Schizosaccharomyces pombe: one gene and its partner. The protein of the gene in region 1 interacts with the protein of each later gene in a pairwise test. Each region holds a gene or a part of one and is shown in the gene's direction. Other genes may lie near its edges. The genes, in order: atf21 and atf31.

Region 1 (4,250 bases):
TCAATAGTGTCTACGTCCAATTATTATCTGAGGTATACACATGCAACAATCACGGCATTTACATCTCAGTAAATTAAAATAAAGAAAAATAATATCATTAAATTAAGTCAAAAGGTTTAAAGGTGATATCCTATGAATTCGGGAAATTGCCAACTATATCTTAGATAGTCACATTTCTACCAAATTGACGTAGAGCTTAATTAAATATTCCAGATGTTGCTAAAGTATTCTCATATTGTCAACTGCGAAGTTCAACATCTTTCGATTTGCAGAACTGATTCAATCCAGTGGCTAACTCATGGTCGTATGTACGATCCGTTCTGTCTATTTTGATTTAATGTGACCAAAAGTTAAACTTCATCTCGTGTATAGTTAAAAGATATGATAGTATACATACTAAAAATGAGAATTCTGGCAAACCAGATTTAAATCAATAACATGTTACTCTTGCTTGCGACAATATAAGTAAATGTGGGCAAGAAAGATGAAGAAGTATTAGAAACAAGTTGCGGCTAAATTTTGAGAAAGGATTGATAGCGGAAAGGCTACTAATAGTAATGATATGAGCTATTATTATCAGTAACGATAAAGCCGTTTATGGTGGCGCGCGTAAGAGAACGACAAAATTTGAAGCCTAGGTAGTTTCATCAAAACCATTAAAGGAAATAAATATGAAAAAAGCTAGCAAGAGAGGCGATATTATATTTTCGCATTCACAACTTTACTATTGACGACTACGAATACCGAGGGATAGCGTTATTATCTCTCCACAAGTAATCGGCTATTTTTTGATTGGTTTAAATAAAAGTAAATCCTGATTATATTTGACATAATCTGCATCAAATAGAACTCTAGATTTTCCTTTCCGAATATGGTGGCCAATTAACGGTACGACTGTGATGTAAATATTACACAGTGGAGCGACACGTGAATGTAGTCCCCTTCGGTTAGCTCCTTAAAATGGAGGCCTTAAAGGATAATACTGCTTGACTTTTTTAGCATAGTGCCTTTGTTAATTGCAACAAATCCCTTCAAACAAAAAAAAAATAAATTTTTATAAAGAAAAACTTTTTATTTCTATACGGCAAGTTCATCTCATAAAGTAAACAAATCATTTCCCGATTGGCTACCCTAGCCCTTCGTTTGTTTGTTTTGCAGTGACGTCAAAATTCATCTCACCCGATCAACATATATAAACATTGCGACACAAACCAAAAAGTTACCGACTGCAGCATCATATTTCTCAGCAGAAACGTATTCTTATAGTAATCCAAGTCCAAAATTAAGGAATTGGTATCTTAAACCACCTTAGTACATAGTTCTCTATTGTTTATAAGCCTCTTTACTTGCCAGGGACGCAGTAAGACATTGCTTCCTTCACCACCTTCATTATCCTTTACCTTCTTTCTCTGTCCACCTTATATATATATACTTATTTTCCCAGGAATCCTCACTTTTGCCATTAATCCATTCCATCCTTCTGTAGAACGACGAATTGTCATCCCTTCCTTTATCGTTCGTTCATTTCCTAAAACCGGGACACTACTGCATGCTTAAAACAGAGGAAAAATAAAGAGAGAACACATTTATATAATTGAAAGAAACTTTTCCATTGATAGCTCCTAAGTTTCAAATCACCAACTTGTCGGTTTATACATTCTTCATTTTCTTTTATTTACTTTTTTGAAGAAGTTCACAGGGATCACTATTCAGAAATTTTATACAAAGATATTGCATCCTTATTCATCAATCCAAATTTGCGTCACTTGATCGACCACAATTTGCTTCATCTTCCCTTCCCAATTTGTTTCGCCAGCACCTGAATAACATAGCCTCTTTTTAAGATTTAACCTTCTTCAAGAAATCACTACATATTCGCACTACTAACAAAAAAGAAACTTTCGCTTTTTATTTAGTCCGTTCTTGTATCAACTATCTTCATCGGCTTTACCGTCGAAACCATTTCAACCGCACTCAATAGAAAATTAACTTGCTCATCATCAATCTTCCATCATGGATTTCGCAAATGTGTATCTCGGGTTAGATACACTAGGTAATGAAGGATATGGTGCTAGCGTCAGTAATGGCACTCACCATGATTTTCATTTTAACTTCAATACATTCCGCGATGGTGGTAACCATGAAGTTGGAGAAAAACGCGCTGAATCTAGCGATATCGGAGTATATGAATGTAGAGGTCCAGTCCAGGGACCTAAAGATCAAACATCCTTTCCCTCGAATTCACATAATAACTACGCTTCAATAGTAGGTGATGCTAGCATTGGACATTACCTCAAAGGACCCGAGCGTACTTCAGAGGTATCATTACCTCAAACGGTAAACCTTTCGGAGATTTCTAACAATAATGACAAAGGCCAGCCTACAAATACTCCTCCTGTACGCTCAACAATTGTTGCACCTTCATTATACTCTGAAGGTAGTACTTTGAATCATTATAATAATGGATCTCATCAAGTGCTTCATCCACAATTCCAAAATGGAACCAACGCCCCATACGTAGTGCAGTCAAATCTTATGCAAAACAATGTTAATCTAACAGGAGCGGAACAAGAAAAAGGTTTGGACCTATATAAGAATTCCGCTACTGCGAATAACGATGAGATTTTCTATAATCTTGAATCCTTACGTAGAGAAGGATACTTAAACTCCAACAAGAAGCAGTCTCAATCTCCAAATGGAGACTACAACAGCAGCGATGAGTCCTGTTCCAATAAAACCGTCGCCTCCAGTCAACGACGGGGTACACCTGGCAGTAACAATGTTCATACCGCTAGTAACAATGAAACTCCTGATATGAAGAGGAGGCGGTTTTTAGAGAGAAATCGAATAGCCGCATCGAAATGCCGCCAAAAGAAAAAGCTTTGGACACAGAATCTCGAAAAAACAGCACATATCGCATGTGAGCAGTCGAAAGCTCTAAGGATTTTAGTCAGCCAACTACGTGAAGAAGTAATTTGTTTGAAGAATCAACTATTAGCTCATCAAGATTGCAATTGCGAAGGAATTCGACAATATCTTTCTTCAGAGGCTCAAGGAATTATGTCCTTTCAGAAACATTGAGCAAATGACACCCCATTGAATCAAGTTTCGTAACATTTTTTTATTATACTGTATATGCATTTCTGAGAGCCTGGATAGAATCTTGCAATAGGAGATGCTTAAAAGACGGCCAGTGCTGCTCTACTGCTTGTCTATAGTAATTGTACTTTAACTCTGGCATATTTTATTTTTCTTTTTTCACAATACTATTATTTTCTTCGCGTCACTGTGTTCATGGGATTTGCAATCTCACTCCAAACTCGTTTCATTCAATTGCTTGGGTTTTTCATTCATGTTTCTTCATTAAAAGTGTTTATGTTTCGAAGATCCTTTACGCACGTTTCATTTCCAGATTAATAATTACTGTAATGATATATCTTCCCTATATGTATTTTTTTAATAGGTTACGATTGCTTTACGAACTTGACCTAGATGAGCCAAATCTGTAATCACTGCCATATAATCTGTACCTCGTTCACAGACATGTCATTTTATCTTCAGTACGACACCACAGTTACATATATTGTTTGCTTTGGAATAAAAAAAAAATTAAGTAATAGAATAACACTTTCTGAAGTAAATGGTAGAAAAGATAACAGTATTCGTAGAGCAGCTATAATTATATGCATTTTTGCGTTTTGCAGCAAAAGATCACTATACTGCATAAGGAATTTTTATACAAACCATGTGTCTTTATTTAGTACATTAAGACTATATCCCGTTTCTACTCCTTCAGAAAGTGCTTAAGCCCTCTCTTAGCAAAGAAACGAGTGTATTATTAAAAGGAATGGCACCCTCAGAGAAAGACATTGAAGAGGTATCAGTCCCTGGAGTTTTAGCACCGCGCGACGATGTGAGGGTTTTAAAGACACGAATTGCCAAATTATTAGGAACAAGTCCTGATACATTTCCTGGATCACAGCCAGTTTCTTTTTCAAAGAAACATTTACAAGCATTAAAAGAAAAGAACTATTTCGTATGTGAAAAAAGTGATGGAATTCGTTGTTTACTTTATATGACCGAGCATCCTCGGTACGAAAATCGACCCAGTGTATATTTATTTGATCGTAAAATGAATTTTTATCATGTTGAGAAAATTTTTTATCCAGTTGAAAATGACAAATCTGGAAAAAAATATCATGTTGATACACTTTTGGACGGTGAGTTGGTTTTAGATATCTATCCAGGTG
Region 2 (5,252 bases), on another chromosome or scaffold:
TTAAAGATCGTAAACATTTTGAGTAGCCTGGATTCTAGCAAATGGGAAGCATACCTGGATCAAGTAGTAAATGCGGATTCCGCTGACGAATTAACGGTTTGTTTAACTTCAATTTTGAAAAAGGCAAAGATTATTCCCGGTTCTGAAGCTCGGGTGTTTGTTGGCTATGACTCAAGGTTTGTTTTACTTTTATTGTCGATATTAGATCACTTAATTTCTCCGCTTTTTTAAATCTTATGTCCAAGACTAACATCTAATACTTAGGTCTACTTCAGAAATCCTTGCGCAAGCTGTAATTGACGGTATTGTGGTCTGCAAAGCAAAGTACGAAAATTTTGGCCTTTTAACTACACCTCAGCTACACTACATGGTCAAGGCTTCTCAAACTTATGGTACCCCAGATGCAATAGGTGAACCTACTGAAAGAGGGTATTTTGAAAAGCTGTCGAAGGCATATCAATCCTTAATGACAGGAAAGAAGATTAAAGGGACTGTATTGATAGATGCTGCTAACGGCGTCGGAGCGGCTAAGATAAAAGAACTGGCCAAGTATATTGATCCAAAGCTGTTTCCTATCGAAATCGTAAACGACAATATTGATAATCCTGAACTGTTGAATAACTCGGTAAGTTTTTTTGATACATTGTTTACAATTGCATGCTAATTTACTAGTGTGGAGCGGATTTTGTAAGGACTCAGCAAAAGCCTCCAAACGGTATTAGTGCCCCAAAACATGCCCGTTGTGCCTCTTTTGACGGGGATGCTGATCGAATTGTGTATTTTGCGTTTGGCTCTCACAGCTTTCATCTGTTAGATGGTGACAAAATATGCGCTTTATTTGCCCAATTTCTAATCGACCTAATCCGTTCTACTGGTTTGGACCTTCAAGTTGGTATTGTTCAGACTGCTTATGCAAATGGAGCCAGCACGGCATTTTTCCAAAAAACTTTAAAGGTACCGGTTTTATGTGTGTCTCCCGGTCTTAAGCATCTTTACCATGCTGCTCAAGCTTACGATGTTGGAGTATTTTTTGAAGCAAATGGTCATGGTACAATTTTAGTCTCTCATGCTGCATTATCAAAGATAATTTCTCATGAAGTATTGTCTCCAGCCCAATTTAATGCCTTAAAAACTCTAAAAACAGTCTTTGAATTGATTAATCAAACTGATGGAGATGCTATTACTAATTTACTTTTGGTGGAAGTCATTTTGGCTCACAAAAATTGCACTTTGAAAGAGTGGAATCAGCTATATAGCGAAATTCCTAGTCGTCTAATTCGCTGTGAAGTAGAAGACCGGTCAATTTATACTACTACTGATGCCGAACAAAAACTAGTAACACCGGAAGGACTTCAAGAAAAAATTGACGCTTTGGTAGCAAAATACACGGGCGGTCGGGCATTTGTTCGATCATCTGGAACCGAGGATGCTGTTCGGTAAGTTCAATGTTAATTATCATTCTAACTCTAATTGTAGTGTGTATGCGGAAGCTAGTTCAAGGGGTGAATCTGAGGATTTAGCCCTCCGCATTGTTGAACTATTACATTAAACAATTTTTAAATTTAAATGTTAATGACTAAATTGGTTATGATGGAACTGTCTTGTTTAATGTTGTTTTTAGGGATATCTAGTAATAATTTTGGTTACCCAAATTCTTATATAATATCTAACAAAAATATGTGCATACATATGCGAATATACTTGTATACAGTTTGTTGATAGTAATTTTTTAAAATAACCAGGCATTATAATTTTGTTGTTGTGTTCACAAGAAAAAGTGTTTGTTTACATGGACTTCCTCACAATGCTTGAATTTAATATTCCCTCATAAAGGACTTATATAAACCTCGCGTGAGCAAACAAACGCTCATATTTGTATCAAGCTGTTATAAAGGATATTGACGGAAAGTTCAATAATTCACCTATTTACCAGTTAATCGGCATTATCCAGCTGTACAAATTTTATCGTTTATAGTGATCACTTTGAAATCGATTATTAAAAGAAGTTGGTGCCAAAAACTCATAAAAAAAATCAAATATATAATTCTACTCGTTTGCGAAAAAGAAGTCTTTCATAAGACGCTATAAATTTTTCTTAAAAAAATTATTGATCAATAAATCATTTTCAGCATGACCTACGAAACAAATACACCAACCGAGGAATCCATTATTCCGAAGCATGAAGATGGAGAAGAATACAACTCAATTTATCTTTCTCGTTTCGAAAAAGACATCTCAATTTCCCAAACCCTCGATTTTTCACAATTTATGCAAACTCAGATTTTATTGACAGCCAAACGTAAAGCTTTAGAGCTCGGCGACGATCGATCCCCTATTAACAATGATCCATATAATATCAGGAGAAGCGATTTTGATGAATTATCAGAATACACTGCCTCTAAAAGCCCCAGTATAATTTCCGAGGCTTCACACAACTCACCATCACGAGAGCTGGATGACTCAGGTGATGAAAACACTTCCAAATTAACTGGAACTAAGCAGTCAATGTTGAAAGCCAGAAACAGACAAGCTGCCCAAAAGTGTAGGATAAAAAAGAAAAAGTACTTACAAACATTACAAGACCAAGTCAACTACTACACTTCTGAAAACAAGGAGCTTTTGCAAAGTGCTAATGATTTAAGAGAAGAAATAATTAAACTGAGAACCTTGGTGTTTGCTCATAGAGATTGCCCAGTATCGAAGGCTTGCTCAAAAGCGTTGTTTCTAATGGGCAAGGAAAAACCGCTTACGCCTCCTTAAAAGTCCGAAATAGATCTATTCGAACTTTTTATGCATTAGACAGTTGATAGGTAAAGGCTCAAGAGGGATATAATCTTCTACGCCATTCATAATACTTAGGTCATTCGGAAATTGCCAAGTCCATCCTTGAAATGCGTTCTCTGGACACTTTTTCCCCTGGCCATTAATATTAGGATGAAAATACAACTTACCAAATTAGTATCCATATATTCAGAAGCCTTTTTCCAAGAACTGATTTCTTTATCTTTTTCCTTCGTATTTGGGGAATCAATCGTATGGTCAATTTTAGTTAACGGATCTTTTTTCTTTGTTAATGAATCAATTTCATCAGAATCAAATGCTAATTCATATGTCAAGCAAGTTTCAGTTTTTGAATATGAAAAAAGTGTCTTGATGTCTTCACCCGTAAAAAAATTCTTCTTTTGGCTTGCATCGGAATCCTACAATCAAGTCAGTATAAAATTTTATAATAAATCACATACTATGAACGAACTTGAAAGCCCTTGCTTAGTATTTTGGCGAATAAAAATGCGCTCATCTAGCATTCCACTGCTGCATAACTTAATATGTTATTCGTAAAAGCGGTCGTACCTTAAAAATGTGTATATACAGACTGGCCGCTTTTGCCCGCTTCTATATATCCTTGACAATGCTTGCAAATCTTGGGCAGGGTTCCAACTTGGTTCGTAAATTATTAACCTAGTGGATCCGGTAAGATTTAAACCGCAGCCACCAGCTTTGCTTGAAAGTAAAAGCACACTAAATTCTTTGAAGCTGGAAGTATTGAAATTGTGTACTATTAAATCACGCTCAGAGAAAGGAGTACTTCCAAGCAATTTACAGAAACGGACATGCAAAATTGATAAAAACAATTCAATCAACTCGAGAGTTTCTTTATATTGGGACACAATAACAGCTTTTTGGCAACCCCTTTGGAAACTTTTAAGTAGCGCAGCCAATATTTGCAGTTTGCTAGAGGAGAGCAACATATTCTCTTGCTCGAATACATGCTTATCTTGCAACTCCGTTGACAAAAAATTTTCCTTTTCATTTCTCAATAAAATGGTGCTATTGCATATCTTGCTCAAGCGAGTCAAAATTTTAAGATAATAGCCCTTCTGATCAACGCTTGACTTGAAACCATCGAGAACATGTCCATAAACATTCTCTTGTTGATGTGTTGGTTTTATGAATAAAACAATGTCGGCTATTATGTTAATACTGATTTTAATATTTGCATACTTCTTGGCGGTAAATGTTTAGCCAGTATATTGGCTTTCCTCCTTAACGTGAAATTGCTTGTAAATTCAAAAAGCTAAAAATCAGTATAAAATTTATCTTTAGTAAACAAACCCTTTGAAGTCTTGCAGCTCCCAATGATATGTCCCTAGAGGAAGCATTCATTGATCTACTCCTTAATATAGGCCGCTCATACTGAGCTTTAAAAGAATTTGGGGTCCCCAGAGATCCAGGAATTATAAAGTTAACCATAGAGAAATATTCTGACAAATCTGAGCGGTTAAAATTAAATAGCATTCACTGATTCATACCGTTTTGTAAAGGCGTACCAGTGAGAAGAAGCCTCTTTCTAGTTTTTAGCTTATTCAGCGTAATCCAAGTCTGACTACTCATGGACTTCAAGCGGTGAGCTAAGATTAATAAACTATTTATGAACAAATCAATACCTTCGTCGCAAATTAGAAGATCAATATCAATCCCGCATCCATAGTTTCTCAAGTACGTACAAACCTTTAGCAATTAGAAAAAAGAATAAATAAAGGAATTACCGTTTCATATCCTGTAATGATAATCGAATAAGTTTTGTTCGACGTAAATTCTTGGAAATCTTCAGCGCATCTAGCTATATAAACATGAATACGCTCGTGACCGAGCCAATTATAAAACTCATTTTCCCAATTCTAGCCATTAGTAATGAAGTTTTGAAACTTCTTACCTTCAAAAGAGTGACAGGTGCTACGACCATTGCATTGTTTATAGTCGAAGAACGATTGGCGTAATAAGACTGCTCTAAATAATAAGATTAGAGAATGAAAGTTAAAAAAAACCCTAAGTCTCATACTCAATAAAGTCCAGACAACTGTTATAGTTTGCAACGTTTTTCCTAAGCCCATTTCATCAGCCAAAATTGCACTATATCCACATTTTCCTTCCATTCCTAATAAACAGTCGTAAAGAAAGGAAACTCCTTCCCGCTGATGAGAATAAAGATGCTTTGAAAGGAAAGGATCAATAACAACATCTACATGCGTCCTGTAATGTTAGATCAAGCATTCACTTTTACCATACCTTGGATCCCAAGTCTTGGGCCTGCTCATCACCAAAGCTCCAAGCACAGTAGGATCATGCCTCGGTTTGGGTAGTGCTGATATTGTCTGGTACATTGTGTTAGGTCTCAAAGGTGGCTTGAATTTACGCTTCATTTCAGGCATATGAACGTCTCGGAGAGAATCATCTATATGTGTGCCTGCTTC

The links.
Region 2: the proteins of atf21 (region 1) and atf31 interact in a two-hybrid assay, tested with the Schizosaccharomyces pombe proteins (one large-scale study listed by BioGRID).

The regions. Positions count from the first base shown.
Region 1 is NC_003423.3:1,721,000-1,725,249, forward strand, and holds atf21 (Atf-CREB family transcription factor Atf21), read left to right. Parts: upstream 1-2,013; coding exon 2,014-3,081; 3' UTR 3,082-3,451; downstream 3,452-4,250. Other genes in the region: mRNA guanylyltransferase Ceg1, read left to right, coding at 3,848-4,250.
Region 2 is NC_003424.3:704,352-709,603, reverse strand, and holds atf31 (DNA-binding transcription factor Atf31), read left to right. Parts: upstream 1-2,130; coding exon 2,131-2,760; 3' UTR 2,761-2,775; coding exon of another isoform or gene 2,776-2,916; 3' UTR 2,917-2,951; coding exon of another isoform or gene 2,952-3,200; 3' UTR 3,201-3,242; coding exon of another isoform or gene 3,243-3,312; 3' UTR 3,313-3,351; coding exon of another isoform or gene 3,352-3,967; 3' UTR 3,968-4,002; coding exon of another isoform or gene 4,003-4,075; 3' UTR 4,076-4,113; coding exon of another isoform or gene 4,114-4,271; 3' UTR 4,272-4,310; coding exon of another isoform or gene 4,311-4,409; 3' UTR 4,410-4,445; coding exon of another isoform or gene 4,446-4,509; 3' UTR 4,510-4,547; downstream 4,548-5,252. Other genes in the region: SPOM_SPAC1296.01C (phosphoacetylglucosamine mutase), read left to right, coding at 1-176, 265-625, 673-1,436, 1,477-1,549; ATP-dependent DNA translocase Rdh54, read right to left, coding at 2,776-2,916, 2,952-3,200, 3,243-3,312, 3,352-3,967, 4,003-4,075, 4,114-4,271, 4,311-4,409, 4,446-4,509 and 4 more.